3 linked regions of the Arabidopsis thaliana genome follow. The protein of the gene in region 2 interacts with the protein of the main gene of each other region in a pairwise test. Each region holds a gene or a part of one and is shown on either strand. Other genes may lie near its edges.

Evidence for each region. The genes of interacting proteins can lie anywhere in the genome.
Region 1: the proteins of CPK32 (region 2) and ABF1 interact in a two-hybrid assay, tested with the Arabidopsis thaliana proteins (one study listed by BioGRID).
Region 3: the proteins of CPK32 (region 2) and ABF3 interact in a two-hybrid assay, tested with the Arabidopsis thaliana proteins (one study listed by BioGRID).

The regions. Positions count from the first base shown.
Region 1 is NC_003070.9:18,397,632-18,403,351, forward strand, and holds ABF1 (abscisic acid responsive element-binding factor 1), read left to right. Parts: upstream 1-2,374; 5' UTR 2,375-2,529; intron 2,530-2,555; exon of another isoform or gene 2,556-3,152; 5' UTR 3,153-3,194; coding exon 3,195-4,193; intron 4,194-4,310; coding exon 4,311-4,382; intron 4,383-4,467; coding exon 4,468-4,522; intron 4,523-4,645; coding exon 4,646-4,731; 3' UTR 4,732-4,986; downstream 4,987-5,720. Other genes in the region: AT1G49730 (Protein kinase superfamily protein), read right to left, coding at 4,987-5,495, 5,574-5,658. UniProt on the Arabidopsis thaliana protein: Binds to the ABA-responsive element (ABRE). Could participate in abscisic acid-regulated gene expression.
Region 2 is NC_003074.8:21,295,476-21,302,156, forward strand, and holds CPK32 (calcium-dependent protein kinase 32), read right to left. Parts: upstream 4,230-6,681; 5' UTR 3,877-4,229; coding exon 3,349-3,876; intron 3,105-3,348; coding exon 2,981-3,104; intron 2,896-2,980; coding exon 2,752-2,895; intron 2,619-2,751; coding exon 2,466-2,618; intron 2,381-2,465; coding exon 2,265-2,380; intron 2,163-2,264; coding exon 1,995-2,162; coding exon of another isoform or gene 1,944-1,994; exon of another isoform or gene 1,901-1,943; coding exon 1,673-1,900; intron 1,579-1,672; coding exon 1,423-1,578; 3' UTR 982-1,422; downstream 1-981. Other genes in the region: AT3G57540 (Remorin family protein), read right to left, coding at 6,148-6,348. UniProt on the Arabidopsis thaliana protein: May play a role in signal transduction pathways that involve calcium as a second messenger. Involved in maintaining Ca2+ homeostasis in pollen tube tips by regulating CNGC18. Functions as regulator of the calcium-mediated abscisic acid (ABA) signaling pathway.
Region 3 is NC_003075.7:16,292,769-16,299,008, reverse strand, and holds ABF3 (abscisic acid responsive elements-binding factor 3), read right to left. Parts: upstream 3,676-6,240; 5' UTR 3,002-3,675; coding exon 2,114-3,001; intron 1,962-2,113; coding exon 1,668-1,961; intron 1,583-1,667; coding exon 1,511-1,582; coding exon of another isoform or gene 1,420-1,510; coding exon 1,390-1,419; intron 1,119-1,389; coding exon 1,038-1,118; 3' UTR 724-1,037; downstream 1-723. Other genes in the region: DJ1C (Class I glutamine amidotransferase-like superfamily protein), read left to right, coding at 24-161, 241-456. UniProt on the Arabidopsis thaliana protein: Binds to the ABA-responsive element (ABRE). Mediates stress-responsive ABA signaling.

The sequences.
Region 1 (5,720 bases), on a different chromosome or scaffold from region 2:
TAGAAAAGTATATGAATCTTTTACTTGTAAACATATTTATAGAAAAGAATATATAATATATATATATATATATATTTCATATTTGATTAAAATTTTATATTATTATGATAAAATAAAATAATATAAATATAATTTATAATAAAAACCATATAAAAGTTTACACAATTATTCAAAACAAATAAATTTATCAGTTAAATGCTTATTATTTCATGCATTTGGTTCATAAAAAACCAACATCAAGTAATATGACAAAATTACAAAAACAATTTATGTTTCGAATTACTTCAAAACGTTCACATTAATAGTATTATTACAATACTTAGTTTGTATCTTGCCATTGTTGATGAATTGACTCTATGATTTTGATGGAGAAAAATATTAGGATTTTAGTTTATGGATAAACTTTTTTTGAAAAAAAACACAACCCGAATCTCAAAAATAGTTTTGTCAAAAATCTTGAGAAAAACGATGAGATTCGGGTTCAGATTTTTTCAAAAATAGTTTTATTCGTGAAAGATTTAAATTCGAGCGGAGATTGTTCCGCCCACTTTAAAAAATATTTTATTTTCTCTAAATAATTTTAAAATAAAATAATTATAATAAAAATGAAAATTTGAAATTTTTAGACACCATAAACTAATATGTTAATAAAATTATTTTATCCAAAATTAGAAAATTAATGTCATATAATCTAAAAAATTAATAGTTAATTGAGATGATAAGGGTAAAATTAAAATTTTATTTTTGTTGTCAGATCGTGAGTATGAAAATAACAATATTTAATTGTTTGAATATTTAAATTGCACAGTTTTATTATTTCATGTATTTTTCATGTATTTTTCTTCTTAGAAAAAACAATTGGGTATTAAACGTTTAAATAAAAATTAGTTAAGGTTTTTTTTTGGATTTTTACCCATTAGAAAACTCTTCCTTTTCATTTATTTTTACTTCTAGTAGTAGAGGTAATTTTTCTTTTTTGATTAACAAAGTCGTGAGGTTTGTTAGTAGAGACTAGAAAGTTGTTGAATGGGTAATTGATATGTTTTGCTCCACAAGAAAGCGGAAGTTTTTAAAAAAAAAGAAACAAAATTAGCATTACAATACCAATGATTACATATGTAAACAATATTTCCCGGAATTAGCTCGTATGAATCTAAATTAATATTGACAAAAAAAAAAATACCAATGATCACATATATGACAAAAAGAAAGAATGAAGGAGAACTCTATCATGGTTTGATGCTCATTCTATACGCTGGCCCAACGGTGACACGAAAGTAGACAATTCTTTTAAATAAGTTATCAAATTATAAAGAAGTAGAAATCATCAACATACCATTTACCAAGTGAGGAGAGGGCAAAATTTCCAAATTTGGAAGTGAATTGTATTAAACTCGACGCAAATCTTCTTAAAAGTCTTCTTCTTTTGGGTTGCTTGGATATAATGATTATTGCTTGATGTCAAAATTCGCACACCATTGGGATGATGGGACCCAAAAAGAATCACTACCCACTTCTGCCGTTGTTTCAACATCATTCATGTATAATAATCACAGTTTATCAAGCACACAAAATATCTTACATGAGTAACAACAATATGATATTAAAATTAATTTGGCACATAATTTAATCATTTGGTGTTCCGACCGACATGATACTATACTATAATTTTATTCCCATTTCATTTCTTATTTTTTTATATGCATAGAAAATTATTTAAATGCAAAATAAAATTTTAACCAAAAACCTCTAGTCTAGTAGTTTGTTCGATTGTATATAGAGTATTTTGTCATGTGCATAGATTACCACCATCTACGAACATTGTTGTGGTTTGATTTTCTCTTTGATCGCGGTAAACACCAACAATATATGACTAGACATTCATAAACTTCAGATGAGTTAGGATTTGATTTTTTAGAATTTTGGTTTTGAAAAAAAATTAGCCAACTAAAAATCAAACAAAAATTTACTGCGGTTCATAAGTAAAAAAAAAATCAATTTCCTTTTTAGTAATTTTCTTGGAGTCGAATTGAAGTAAAATTGTGCAGTTTACAACACAGAATTCGATATTTAAAAAATTTCTGTTGGCGAATTAAAATTGAAATACTATAATTATCCAAACTTTCTTCGGTTAGTTAATTAAGATCAGAAATAATGTCTAAATGGCAAGGTTAATATGGATATTTGTATCAGATCTAATCCCATTTTTAAAGAAAACAAACAAGGCAAAGGACACAATCAGCGACTAAAGCTCTCACACGTTACAGCTTCTTATTGGTTAAAAATGAACGTGGTTGTCAGCTAAATTAAGTGACTATGTTTAATAATCATTAAAACGGGATATTTATTAGTTTATTACCAAAAAATGAAAGCAAAATATCTAAACAATAAATAAAATAAAAAACCATAAGAGGAAAAAGCTTAACCCCTTAAAATGGCAGTTCGTGTCGAAGCTACTACAAACACACTTGTCGTCTCTTCTCTCTCTCGCAGCTCTTCTCTATTTTCAGCAATCGCCTATAATATTAGGTAAAGCTTCCTTCTTTTTGTTTATCCGTTTTCGTTTTCTTTTCTTCTCGAATCTGTCTTTGTCTTATCACATCCCCTGAAGTGTTATACTTTTTTTTTTTTTGGGTCCGATTCATAATATCTGTTTTGTCTTTTTTTTGGTTCTATGTTCTAAATCAAGTAGTAGTAGTAATGAAGTAACTATTCCTAAAGAAATTAAAGGATAAGACTTTTTTGTTTTTCTTCTTGAGGGTTTGTGTGATCTTGCTTTTACTCCAGAATCTTTTATAGATCTATCTTTTAGATACATTCAAGAATGGTCAAAGTTATGGATTTTGATCCAATCTTATATTTCTCTCTGAATCCAAGGATCCAATTTATACTCTCTGTATCACACACTTCTATGTATATGTTTGTGATTGATTGCTTCTGGCTAAAACTTTATAAAGTTTTGACATTTATATGAACGTTCCTGCCTTTTGCTTTTGGTCTTCTTTGCTTGCTCTTATGCAAGTATACTTAAAAGCACTATGTGACACATAGTTGTGTGGTGTGTTATACTCCTAAACCAGTTTCAATTTTCTGGTCTTGTTCTCTCTTAGGTAAAGCTAAAAGGGTCTGATTCGTTTGTTTTTTCACTGAAGAATTTGGAAGGAAGTGATTCCGTTGTGAAACAGAAAAGAAGTATGGGTACTCACATTGATATCAACAACTTAGGCGGCGATACTTCTAGAGGGAATGAGTCAAAGCCATTGGCGAGGCAGTCTTCGTTATATTCCTTAACGTTTGATGAGCTTCAGAGCACATTAGGTGAGCCGGGGAAAGATTTTGGGTCTATGAATATGGATGAGTTACTCAAGAACATATGGACTGCTGAGGATACTCAAGCCTTTATGACTACTACATCTTCGGTTGCAGCCCCGGGACCTAGTGGTTTTGTTCCGGGAGGAAATGGTTTACAGAGGCAAGGCTCCTTGACCTTGCCTAGAACGCTTAGTCAGAAGACTGTCGATGAAGTCTGGAAATACCTGAATTCGAAAGAAGGTAGTAATGGGAATACTGGAACGGATGCGCTTGAGAGGCAACAGACTTTAGGGGAAATGACTCTGGAAGATTTCTTACTCCGTGCTGGCGTTGTTAAAGAAGATAATACTCAGCAGAACGAAAACAGTAGTAGCGGGTTTTATGCTAACAACGGTGCTGCTGGTTTGGAGTTTGGATTTGGTCAGCCGAATCAAAACAGCATATCGTTCAACGGGAACAATAGTTCTATGATCATGAATCAAGCACCTGGTTTAGGCCTCAAAGTTGGTGGAACCATGCAGCAGCAGCAGCAGCCACATCAGCAGCAGTTGCAGCAGCCACATCAGAGACTGCCTCCAACTATCTTTCCAAAACAAGCGAATGTAACATTTGCGGCGCCTGTAAATATGGTCAACAGGGGTTTATTTGAGACTAGCGCAGATGGTCCAGCCAACAGTAATATGGGAGGAGCAGGGGGTACTGTTACAGCTACTTCTCCTGGGACGAGCAGTGCAGAAAACAATACTTGGTCATCACCAGTTCCTTACGTGTTTGGTCGGGGAAGAAGAAGCAATACGGGCCTGGAGAAGGTTGTTGAGAGAAGGCAAAAGAGAATGATCAAGAATCGGGAATCCGCTGCTAGATCAAGGGCTCGAAAACAGGTAAAGTTACCGTTTTGTTCTCAAAAACTTTGATATCAATATCATCTAACCAAACTGCCATTACCGTTTTCTTTTCAAGAACTTTGAAATCATTTTGATGTTTTGGCTAAACCTCAGGCTTATACCTTGGAACTGGAAGCTGAGATTGAAAGTCTCAAGCTAGTGAATCAAGATTTGCAGAAGAAACAGGTTTTTTTCTTCTACCATTTTTATTGCTTCTCCATAGAGAGTCTAGCTGGCTCAGTTATTTAACTGCGGTCTCTCTATGTTGCAGGCTGAAATAATGAAAACCCATAATAGTGAGGTAATAACGTTTTTCCTCTACTTATGTATATTTCATGTATACACCATCATTGTCTCTACATTACCAGACATTTTGTGTCTGTCTAAATGTAGCTCTATTGTCATTTTGATGACACACAGTTCACTGATACTAGTACTTGAATTTGCAGCTAAAGGAATTTTCGAAGCAGCCTCCATTGCTGGCCAAAAGACAATGCTTGAGAAGAACCCTTACCGGTCCGTGGTAAGAAGGTGAAGTCAAAGCAAGAAGAACCTGCTAATGTAATACAGGACCACTCAAAAGGAAGACACTGGGAGAGTAATATGTAATAGAAGATAGTGCTACTGTACAGGAGAAATTACAGAGACGCTTACAATGTAGAAATCTTTTGAGCTGAATTTAACTAAGAGTGCAGTCTGTGTAGAGTATGAGAGCTTTCAATATGAATTCATAATTTTCATAAACATATGTAAAACTTTCAGATTTAGCTATAGAGAAGATGTGACTAACTCAGAAAGAAAATCCGTTAATTGGAGAGTGAGGTAAACTCCGGCTGTAATGTGACCTGGAAGTAGTACTAGACGATGGACCAAAGATCCGGGAATCACCTCTTTGAATTCTCAAATTGCTTCTCTTCCTACTATCCCAGCCTATCTCTTCTTCAACCGCTTTAGCAAATGCGCTATGCACCGGATCACAGCTTTCACACAACAGCCTCAAGACTTGCTTAATTGATGGCCTAGACCGGCCTTCTTTCTCGGTACACAATCTCACAACCGTCACAACTGCATCAAGTTGTTTTCCTCCAGCATCATTAATAGAGTCTTTGATTCTCGGGTCTACCAACTCGAGGTGTTTTGATTTCGCCAACAAAAACCGCTGAGACATTTCCACAAGGTTCCTACCTTCATCAACTGCTCTTCTCCCGGTTATGAGCTCCAGCAACACAACTCCGTAGCTGTACACATCACTCTTCTCTGTCAACTCTTGCGTTACTACATATTCCGGATCTACATAACCTGAAAAAACTTCAAGTTTTTAAAACTCAGCTTCCATCAAAAGTAGTCAAGTTATTCTGTTCAGTATCTCTCCCAAACCTGGAGTTCCACGGATATCGGTATTCACAGGCTCAAAGCAAACAGAGCCATCTCTAGACGAATGTGCAAGGCCAAAATCTGAAAGCTGCACCAAGAAAACATTATTAGTTATCCAAATACCAAAGGGTTCTCTAACACAGAAGATGT
Region 2 (6,681 bases):
GTTTGATTTTCAATAAAATTTGGCAACAATACAAAAATAGCCACGTAAGTCTCCCGTGTCGATGAGACTACTACGAGGTGGATATTTATTAGACGTACCAAAAAGCAATGATTTGAGTTAAATTGCTTTTCACTTGTATGTTTGTGATTATAATACTTAACAGATGTTCAGTGATGCTATTTTTATCTACATTGTGTGGGTATCAGATTTGTAGGATATCAATATCATGAACAGTTGCAAACTCATCGAGTAGATATGATTGTAAATTTTTATTTTTTATAAGGCTGTTGATCAAATATTCAAATGACTGGTGTCTTATGCTTGATGACAATAATATAGAGGACACAAATATTTAGTCCACTTGTTTAGATTTGATGCTGCGATAAGCCAATAACGACGTTTATTATATTTTTGTCTGAATTTTCCTTCTTCTCGACTACTATAGCTATATGGGATTGATAAAAGTTTATGGCCAATATAGTTTCCGTTATATACTTATTTAAAACATTGTACAGTTTTGAAAACAAAACTGTGACCACAAAGACAAAGTCGACCACCAGGACAAAACGAAATGGGACTTTAGTTTCTGATTTTATTTGTACATCTGGCTTTGTGTAAATTGAGTTAATTACAAAATAGGCATTTGTCTTAAGAATTTATTTATTAAGACATTTCTCATATGTCTTCACGAAAACATGTACTTATTTCTTGTGAAAAGTCATCTCTAATATCATTTCATTGGCCTCATCTTCTCAAGCCGAGAAAGTCTAATTAATGTTGTAGTGTTGTGTCGTTGTATCTGTGTATGCATCGCAGACTGTCAACTAAACGGTTTGGGTTTACAAGTCCAATTCTAGGGTATATCGTTTTCACTTCTTCACCTATTTTCACATCATCCTACCACTTGCAAAAATGGAATATCAATTTCTCACTTACTCCAGAAGGTTAAAATCGTCCGAAATCAGACAATAAGCGGCCCATTCAACTGTGCAACATACCTCTTTTGAAATTATTAAATTTAAAATGCCTATATTCGATATAAGCTCGTGTAAGTTTATCTGTAAAGCAAGCTCTCATTGTCAAAATCCATAACTCATATAATTCTTGAATGGTTATAGAAAATTACAGATTGATCACAAGAAAAATTGATGATATTATCTTTTATCAACACAAGATTATACAAAATATCTACACACAGCCAAAGGCCAACACGGTTTTTCTCTCTTGATCCCCATACTCAGCTCGCTCATTAGCCAGGATATCAAACACACAACTCTTACAACTTTATATGCCTAAAAAGCTTTAATCGTGGTGTCATAAAAAAAAAGCAACCCAAGAAGATAAAAATTAAGAAATTAAGAAAGATTTGCATCCCTTTGATTCAATCTTCCAGACTGGTGAGTGACACAGATTAAGCCTCTCTCATCTTGTATCACCATTGACCTGCAACGACGCATCTTGCATCAGTTTGAGACTGATACTGTTAAACCGTTCTCTCGAGTACTGTCTCGAAGCTTTTCTCCAATCTGTTCCTGTTTTCATCATCGTTACAAACTCTTCGTAACTTATTCTTCCATCCTACAAAAAAAACAATTTTCATGATGGTTAGTTCTCTATGAGATGGGATTTTTTTCAACAAGAAAACGAGAGTGAAATGGTGAAGTTAACCAACCTTGTCGGTGTCAACATCACGGATAATGGCATCAACAACTTCTTCACTTGTACCAAGTTCGTCAGACAAGGCTTCCCTTAACTCCTCTATTTCGATATATCCGTTATTGTTTTGATCAAAGAACGCAAACGCTTTCTTGAGATGCTCGTCATTGCCCATTTTCCTTAGGTGTACCGATATGGCAATAAACTCGTCACAGTCCAAATATCCATCTCTATCGATGTCTCCCTGCAAAGTAGAAGAAAACCATCCAGAGCTCAGTTAACTGCATTCAAATCACACAAAAACTGGTATTGAAAAGTAATGGTAAATCAAAGCTCACAGCATCCATCAAAATTTGTAAATCATCTTGCGGAATGGCATGACCAAGTTTCTGCAACCCGATTTTAAGCTCGTCGATGTTAATCTTCCCTCTTTGGCTTGTGTCCATTATTTGGAACCCTTCTCTTATACCTGAAGCTTCTTCATCTGATAAATGCTCAGCAATAACCTATCGAGATAACGTAACAAGACCAAACGAAACTATTGTTAGGCTTTTTAGATCAGAAGAGATATACATTTTCGGATAGTTTATAAGTAATATGTATTTTACCCTGAGTGCTCGTTTCTTGAGCTTGTTCATGACGGTGAACTGCTTCAACCTTGCCCTCACTGTTTCACCCAATGATACATTGGGGGCTGTCTTTGCATTCTGTAACCACGGGTGATCTGAGGAAAATGAAGCAAAGACCGATTAATACTCTTTGTCTGTCTCAGATTCCATATAAGCAAATTGCATCATATAAATCTGTACCTAGGACTTGTTGAGCTGTAAGACGACGCTTTTGGTCAGGATCAAGCATTTTCCTGATAAGGTCTTTTGCGTTTTCAGAAACCTTGGGCCATGGGTCCCTTCTGAAGTCTAGTACAGATCGAATAATTGCTTGTGCAACTCCTTGTTCAGTTTCTGAAAATGGTATAGAAAAAAACAGAAGACCAGGTTCATTATTCTTATGATCACTTCTTCATATACTACCCCTGAAGACAACATGTGCTACAGACGGCCCAAGAAGAAGGAAACATAGACTGACAAAACTAACCTGCCCAGAAAGGCGGGACACCACATAGCAGTATGTAAAGAATTACACCTGCACTCCAAATATCAACTTCTGGACCATAATTCCGTTTTAGCACCTCGGGAGCCATGTAGTACGGACTACCAACGATTTCGTTAAACCTCTCGCCTGCAAAGAAAATAACGGTGTGGGTTAAGATTATTGACAAACCACAAAGCAATCAGCTATCTACTGAGCAGAAAGACCACATTACCTGGTTTAAAGAAAACAGAGAGACCAAAATCAATCGCCTTAAGAGGTGCAGTCTCCTTCTTGTTTCCAAACAAGAAGTTCTCAGGTTTCAGGTCCCTGTGCATTACCCCATGCTTATGACACACCTGCAAGAACACACTCATTAATCTCACATCTAAAATCACTCCACAAGACTTTCAATTTACATGAAAAGAAACGAATTTTGAATCTTTCTGCAGCAAATTGAGCCCTTTAAAGCAATGCTACAAGTCAATAATGTCCAAGAAACTGAAACCAGTAACAAACCAAGACATTATACGAGGCCATTGCAATTCTGCAACAAGTAAAGACTAAAGAGATACAATAAACAGCAAAAAAACCTTGACGAACCTGAACAACTTCCATGATGGTCTTAGTGACAGCAGCAGCAGCTCTCTCAGTATAATGCCCTCTAGCAACAATCCTATCAAACAATTCACCACCTTCACAAAGCTCCATAACCAAATGAACAGCATGCTCATCCTCATAAGTCTCCTTCAAAGTAACAACATTAGGATGCTCAGGCATATGCCTCATAATCTCAACCTCTCTCCTAACATCTTCAATATCAACAGCTGTCCTCAGCTTCTTCTTCAAAATCGATTTACAAGCAAAAACGTCGTCTGTCTCCTTATCAGTACATAGATACGTAACACCGAATTCTCCACGACCTAGCTCTCTCCCCAACGTGTATTTAGACTCGATCTCACGACCTGTTGGATCATTCAAAACGATAAGCTTAAGAGGTCTTCCACCTCCATCTCCACCACCGTGGTGAAGACCGTAATCAATCGAGAAAGGGTTTTGCTTCTTCCTTCCTTTTTTGGGTTTGTTATCGTTTTGAGCCAATGATCCTGCTGTTCCGCAACAATTACCCATGACTTTTCCGATCAAACCCAAATCAAAACCGATGAAACTTGAGAGATTGAGGACGAAATTCCAGGAAAGTAGGAAACTTTAAGAGAATTCTGGAAGAGATGGATGAGAAAAAAACGAAGGAGGTGAAGAACAATATATGAAAGGGTGGAAATTTTCAACGCGTGAATACCAAGAAGAACGTCAAATCATTTGTTCGAAAATTAAAATTGCGAAAAATTAATTACAGAGAGAGAGAGAGAGATGATGATGGAAGGAAGGTCAAGAGAATCTTCTTCCCTCCCTTCTTCTCCAGCTGCTCTATGATTGTTTTTTTTTCTTTTTTTGTCTGTTTCTTTTTTTCACTTTAAATTTTTAATTTTCAAAGAATGTTTCTTACTATTACATTACTCTAATGTGAAATCAAAATGCCTTCAGCTTTACCAAATTACTATTGACAATATTACCCCTATATGTGATTTTAATTATTTTTGGTGAATATATGTGATCTTAAGTTAAGGCTTAAATGCCGACAAAAAAAATTAAGGCTTAAATAGTTAAATGTCCACCAATTGTTTTTTTTCAAACTCCTGCAGAATTTTTTTTATTTTTAGAATATTTTTGTTCATTTTAATTTTAGAAAACTCTTTATTTTTATAGAATGTCTAACAAAATTCTAGCACCAAATAAATATATATCTGTGAAATGAATCATACAAATAATTACGAAGACAGGGGTGTTTCAGGAATTTTACCTCATGGATTAAACAGAAAGCGGAGTCTGTGACACGTTCTTAAACTAAGCGCCTTGGAAATAAAAAAAAGTTAAGGGTGAAACCGTAAATACGCTCGTGTTTGGGTTCATAAATAAGCGGCCACCTTTATTTTATGTTCTGTTTTTTTTTTATAATTAAAAGGTCAAACACGGCGATTTTGACTCTTTTTAATCACTTTCGTCGGACCCAACTAACTAATTTTTTTGACTTCGATACAAAACAACCAACATATGTAATTACTCAAAGTTATTTGCTTTTTCTGTCAAGTTGATGATTTTGGTTTTGCACTATAAAACTTCTACCAACAAATCGATAAACGCATTTTGATTTATCAAAATTTAACTGATATAGAAATAAATTTATTTTTATTTTTTTGTCAACTAATTTAATAATTGTTCAGATTACAGATATATGTGCAATTGGGTCGAAACCTGTATTTAAAAGTAACATAAATACTTAAAATTTTACTTTAGAGTTAGTTTATATATAAAATAATTAGCAAAGTCAACGGAGTATGAATGTGGTAAGATACTTTATCAAATGCCTCTAAATTAATATCAAAGCTCCTGATGGACATTCCTTTCCTTACACGAGTGTTTGTCTTACTCCTACCAAGTCAATGATTCAATTTGTAATTTGTTTACTTAGATTACCGTTACTAAAAAAGAGAGTTAAGTGCAATATATAATTAGGCAAGAAATGAGGGGTTTTATACAGTACACTCTATTTTCTTTAGTATTTGATCATTTACCAAAGACTGAGTCTTGTTTGTTAAAACGACCAAAACAAAATATATCTATGATATTGATGGACAAATAAATAGGAGAGTTAACAAAGAAAGGGTATGTAGATTTCTACCAAAAAAAAAAAAGGGTATGTAGGCCCATTATGGCAGAAGCAAAAACCGAAAATAAGCCTTTCTTAATCAGCCCATCTCAAAATCTCTTTACTTCTCTCTTTCTTGCACTTGTGTGTATAAGGTCTATGTTTTGTTCACCGTAAGAGTGTGGTAAGAAATACATACAAGTTGTATGCAAAAAGGTTTTAGACTCGTCTGAGCAAGATTTTAGTGGGTTCGAAATTCCATTCCTGAAATACGTAGGGTTTCGAGCTTTGCAGCCTGAATTAGTAAATTGTGGCGTCTTAAATTACATTTTTGTTAAAGCTCTTAAACACATGAGTGACAGGCCAAGGTAGAGAGAGTAATTAAATGAACAGAGCTGGAAACTAAGTAAGAGCTTGAACCTTTTTTTTCTTTTCTTTAACTCTTTAGTCGTATCAGTCTCAGCAGATGGAATGACAAAACAATACATGTAAACAATTTTCTTGGCTTACAAATAACATTTTATTAGTTTTTATGTGGTGCAGACAAAGAAAAAAGCATACAATTACAAAATATATCAGTACCTTTAAAACTCTTACATTCTATATATAGTTATATACACATTGATTCCCAACAGAAAATGGTAGCCTATATATATTGAGACATTTGGATGTAACTAAAACTAGTAATAGCTTAGCTAGGAAAGAGAGAAGAATGATCGTTTGGCCGGAGGTCGTCCAACGGCTCTCATGAGATTAGCAACTTCAAGAACCCTCGCAACCTCCGTCCCTCGTTTACCTTCCGCCGTGGCTCTCCTCTCCTCCGCCTTCCTCTGAGCTTTTGCCACTTTGTTTTGTGTTTTCTCCATCGCCTTCGCTCTCCTATCTTCCAGTTTCCTCTGCATCCACATATATGTATCAATCGCATAATCTATTATTCCAAAGACAACATCGACGTCTATTTAGTCAGTCTTTTGGATAGCTTTATCACATTTCAAATATTTGATATATCACCACCATTCAAGGATCTATCGTTTATTTGTGTTTCTGCTTTTTTTTCAAATAAACCCATAATTCTTACATTTTGATTTTTTTTTTTTGGTTGGATAAAATATGCATTTTATAATTTGTAAAAAACGCTTGTCCACGTTTATCGTTTGCAATTTGAAAACGTTACATAGTTTTTCTAAATTATTTTGTTATACATGTAAAAGCAAACAGTTTCAAGAAAA
Region 3 (6,240 bases), on a different chromosome or scaffold from region 2:
TTTCTTTGATGGAAATTCCCAAGGGAGGCCATACTGGCTCAGAACGTCTGCAGAAGTCCAAAATTCTCAAGAAACTGCTCAGGGAACAACATGAATCTGGGCGAATATATGGAGCTACCAACTCTTCATCTACCGTTTTGCATAAACATGGTTTACTCAAGGTAAGGTGAAGACAACTATTGTTCTTTTCTTTGTCATATACATGGACAAACGCCATAAACAATTGGAATCCTATTTTAGGAGAAGAGAACGACTGTGTATCCTTCAGAGTCAGACGAGCCTATGAATCAACAAATGATCGAAGGAGCCGAAGTTGTTATAGATGGAAACGTGATTACAAGTTTGGGGCTCGCAACTGTTACCAAATTTTCCCTGGCTATTGTTAGCAAGCTGTTCGGACATGCTAGAGCAAGGAGTGTTTCAGAAGGGCTTGTGCATGAGTATCCAAGGCAGTAACCGTTTGAAAGCATCTTGTTCAAGAAACACAGTTAGAAGATGTCTCATTACTGATCTTAAACCGAAGTATAACGGTCCGATGGTATCAAACCACCTCAACTCCAGAGACTTTTCACAAGTATCATCTGTTCAACGTTGATGCACCTTATCCTGAAGCGGGATGCTATCTGCAAGAATTTTGCCAATTTAGTATGTGTATCTAATTTTGTACGCCCAGTTGGATTACCAGATGTTGATGCTAAACTTGATGTTTACTCTCTTCTATAATAAAGGTGTTGACTTGGGCCCAAATGAGCTAAAGAAAAAATTGCAGACAAGATACAAGATAAATTCACTCTGGTTAAGTCACAAAGATGTTCAAGACAAATGATAAAGATCCATTACATCAGGAAGATAAAACCAAAAGATTTAGGAAAATAGAACAGATATGTGTTTATCTATCTCTGTCAAATCCGCCACACTTCAAGATTTACAATCACCCACAGAACCTGCCTAAACTACGTACAAAGCTAGCTTTCTATCTTCTGAGTTGTTCTATAACTTCGGCGCTTTGTTGGGTTCCTTAGACGCCATTATAAGCTCTACCAGGGACCCGTCAATGTCCTTCGCAAGCATTGCCTTTTGCATCCCATTCCCCATGGCTGGCGCAGAGGCTCCAGAAGCTGCAACAACAAATGAGCCAACTTCCGTTAAATCCATGCTCGTCAGATTAGTCTCATGAAATATCCAAATTGGCATTGCAACATATTCACAAATCTTAAATACTTTATGCAGAGTGGGAAATCAAAAATGTGATGATATGTCTCACTTCATGGTATAGCTTACACTATTCTACTCAAAAGCTTAGAATACTGTCCAAAAGTGTAATTCATTATGAGTGAGAGTTAAAAGCCTAGCCAACAACCATAGAGGATATTCAAATCAAGACAGTACCTGATTTTTCTGCTTTTCCATGATTTCAACCTGCATGAAACATTTGGTCAGTGAATACAACCTCAAGAAAATATGAAAATCTCGAGATTCTTAATTGTGATAGGGAAGAAGCGAGACACACTTGTTTCTTCTGCAACTCTTCATTCAATTCTTTGAGTTGCGCAATTTCTGCTTCCAGTTCCATCGTATAAGCCTGTCAAGCAAGAAAGTGAAAAAGTAAATAACATGGTCACAGTTTTAAGGTTTCTTTAATCTCCAAAATTTAAACAAACACTCACTTGCTTGCGAGCGCGGGATCTTGCAGCTGATTCCCTATTCTTTATCATCCTTTTTTGCCTTCTCTCAATCACTTTCTCCAGAACTGCACCTGTTTTTCTCACTCGCCCAAACATGTAAGGAACAGGGGACAAAGATGCATCCAGGGCGCTCTTTGGAGTCAGATCAGGTGACATCTGGCTTCCAGGAGATACTGCTGCAACCGTTACTCCTGTTTTAAAATCGACAGCTTGCAGTAGATTGTTGTTCATAGGATGGTTATGAATTCCAAGTATTGAAGGCTTCACTTCCTGGCACTGCGAAAAAAGTAAAAACAAGTCATGCTCAGATAACTGAAACATACATGCATATCCAAAACCAGCTTATCTTAAAACATGAAGGCTACGTCTAATATTTTTCAGATGATTGTATTTCCTACAAAATGTAGTAGCTTAGGTTCTTTAGTCACCTGTGTTGCAGGTTGAGAACGGTTAACCACATCAACAGTGTTGGAAAATGCTATAGTGGTCTGTTTGGGAAAAGGCCTCTCCTGCGTCTGTATCAGTTGTTGCGGCTGCTGCACCATCTGTGGCTGCTGCACCATCTGTGGCTGCTGCATCTGTAGTGGCTGAGTTTGAGCAGTCAGCAGATCCTGTCTCACCGCTACTCCATTTCCTGACAAATCTTGAGGTTGGTTTGCAACAAACCCATTACTAGCTGTCCCAAGACCTCCATTACTGCCAAATCCATAGAATCCGCCATTGAAGTTAGTTACACTCTCCACCGGTTGAGGTTCTTCCCTAACCACACCAGCCCTGACCAAAAACTCCTCCAAAGTCATCTCTCCCAGCGTTTGTTGCCTCTGCGGAATTCCGCTTGTCCCACCATTAACAACACCATTTCCAATGTCATCCTCCTTCATCAGCTCCTTCCAGACATCATCAACCCTTTTCTGACTAATCGTCCGAGGCAAGGTAAGTGAACCTTGTCTCTGCAAACTCCCACCAGTGAAAAAACCACCACTTTCTCCTCCCACACCAACAGCTAACCCACCAATGTTGTTACCACCGCCGTTAATAACAGTGTTTCCACTATTACCATTGCTGATGTTGGTGTAACTGGTATTGTTTCCCATCATTGAATGACTTTCCTCTGCAGTCCAAATGTTCTTCAAGAGCTCATCCATGTTCATAGACCCAAAATCTTTCCCAATTCCACCACCCCATGAGTTCTGAAACTCATCAAAGGTTAACGAGAACACAGAGTTCTGCCTAGTCAATGGAAGACTAGTCCCCACCGTTGGCTGCTGCTCACTCACACCATCAACAAAGCTCTTGAAGTTTAATCTAGACCCCATTACTCAAGCTTTCGTACAACTAGGAGGATCAAGCTTCTGGATATTTACCTATAAGAAAACAAACAAGCAGAGAGATTATGGTTTAATTATACATACATCCATAAATTCATCAACAAACGAAGAATCTAAAAAAGCACTGATCTTTATCCAGTTTTAAAGTACCAAAATTTAAGAACCAAATCCAAAGCCGTGAGACAAAATCAGATTTTTATCAGTTCCAAAGCTAAACCCAAACAAAAGATCTAAATGAAATATAAGCACAATGAAGTCAAACAGAGCAAATGGTGAAAATGGAAAGGAATCTCCTTTTAATCAGTAAACAAATCTCCAAAACACCCAATCATATGCTTATTATTCAGCGGGAAAAAAAAATCATGATTCTCTTCGAATCAGTGAATCTGAACAAGAAAACCAATCAGTAATAGACAACAAAAATCGATTCATCAAACCAAAAAAAAAAAGAAAGAAAAAAAATGAAGCAGCTCAGTCACACAAACTAACAAAAAAAAAAAGGAAGTTTTTTGTTAATTTTCCTGACCTTCGAATTTATTTTTTTTCTTTGGAAATGGAAAATCAATAATTCCTCTTTGAGAAATAAAAGATACCTGAAAGGGGTCAGAGCGAGAGAGATGGACAAGTGTCCATGGCGTGACACTCGTCGTGATATAAAAGGGTTGGTTTCTTTTGTTTGGATGCGACTATTATTTTATTCTCGATAAGGTTATTATAGTATTATGCCAATTTGACGTCAGATCGTGCGTGAGCCGTAGAGATTGGGCAACGTGGTCCAATTAGAAACGCCGCTTTTTCTTTAAATCATTATCGATACATTTGCGTTTCCCACCAATAAAATTTCGCAAAGTGGAAGCATTTTTGGCCGTTTGATTTCCTAAACGGCGTCGTCGTTTACGAGACCAAGTACTACTACTAGTACTACATCTTGGAACAAATTATCAAAATATTCTTATAACTTTTTTTTAAGGATAGATAACCAATAAAAATTAAAATTGATGCATTCATTAGCAGTATAGTAATGAATACGAGATTCGTTGATCCGTTATTTGAGTAACAATCTAACGTAGTGTTCACTAACACTTACTTAGCTACCTAATAAAATAGGGATCACACTTTCATTTCTTGTAAGTTGATGCACCTATTTGATCGAATGGTATGAAAATTTGGTTGGAAACAAAATAACCAACGTTATTCCATTCAAGGGAGCGCATTATGGAAAAAAAATTATGATACGATAAGATTTGTAAGAAAAAATAAGAAACAAATGGAAGAAGGGAATGGGTGAACAGTCCGGAATCTTTATCACGTTTGCTGCACCTACAAAGGGATGGTCATTTGCCACGTGGCGCACTCAATGCCTGCCCTCTTAACAATATTTAAAAAAGTTGAAATGAAGCAAACATACAATAAAATTATGATCTTGTGTGTTGATCTTCACATGGTGATTGTGATCTTGTCTTCAACTTCTTTATTTTATTACACCATTATTGAGACTTCTTTACATTTGGACTCGGTACAATACAAGTGACCCTTCGTGTCTCCCATCTTTTATTTCTATTTTCAATCTTTTTATATTATTTTTTCTTTAAGAATCTACTGGATTAGGAAAGTCTACTCTGCAATACATACTAGTATTAAACAAATATGGAACCGTGATTTTGTTTAATGTTATCATATAGAATTCACATGGGACTCGACGACTCTTTTGAGACGTGCTCTTTCCCGAATTAGATTTAATTAATTGAAGTTACTTCTTTAAGGTCGTGTAGAAACAAAATGTATAAATTATAACCACCTTTCAAGAATCCAAAACTCAAAACCAACGAAAGTACGAAACTATAACAACCGGAAGAAACAACACACAACCGAAATGCTAAAACGTTGTTAACAAAAACAAGTTTAATGTGTAACTTTTTTTCAGCTAGGCTAAAATCCTAGAAGGTTAAAAGATATATAACCTTTTTTTAACAAAAAAGAGAGAGTTTAATATGTAAGTTGCAACAACAGGGTAAGTTTGAAGAAATTTACTTTTTCTTAATTCCATGGTAAGATAATAACAAAATTACAAAATAATTCTTACAATAACAAAATTAGATCAAAAACCTAAACCACAATAAAGAAAAAGAATGAAACCTTAGTGTCATGCCCATATATATTTATTACTTTCTATGTGTCTAGAAGACCTAAAGTTGTTAAGAGTAGTTGAACTCTTAGAAAGAGGTCCATTGATTGGATCAAAAAGAAGACCTCACGATGCAAATTAAAAAAACAAAAAACAAATAAATTATGATTAGAAGAAAGCTTTGAGGAATGAGTTATGAGGCATAGCATGATGAGGACATTCAGCCCAACATCAACGTTCGGCCCAAACGTCTGCGCAAGCCCAATCCAAGATACGATTAAGGACTTGGTCATGACTTGACTAAGTCTCTCGCATTTCTGTTTCATTGCTAATAATGTGGAGTATTCCACTAAAGTCACTTTTCCATGATTCCATGTTTGTAGGAGTTAAGCTCCATGATTTGTTTCAAGTTGTTGTAAGGAGGTGAACTCCAAGTATTTATATAAATGAAAAAGCCAAAAAGAGGTAGTCATTATTACCCAAATACAATCAATCTTAATTTGTTATCTTACAAATTCTCTAAGCTTTGAAGAGGGACCATTATAGCAAGATTGTGAAGTCTAATAAACGTATTATTCCTTTGATTTGTTTTTTAAAAAGAACTATTGTCATTTGTCATAGTCAAATGCATGTGAAGTGAATAGCCCGAATAATGTGAGCACGAAGATTTGTTTTGCACCTCTTAACACGCAATCCAAATCACGTGGATCGAAGGTTTTATTGTCAATTATTGGCCCTGCTTGAGCAAACGTATGCTAAAAATACGCTTCAAGTGTACAAACAAACATACTTTTGGTTCAGATCATGTGTTTCCCTCTTGCAAGCCATTCTCTATTGGTCAGTACAAAAAACTCCGTCTAGGCGTCTAGCCAACGGCTATATATTTGGGCTTAACCAAGCTACCAAACTATTTGGGCCTTATTGGGCTCTAATCTTACTCGTCTTAAAGTTTAGTGCTTTAGACCGCACGGTTTACAAAACCAAACCGGGTTCAATTAAATTACAAACCGCAATCAAAGAAGAAAAGCTGACGGCCGTCGCTAAACCCTCCGGCGGACTCTTCAATTCACCGTCGAAAATCACCAACCCGATTATACCATCT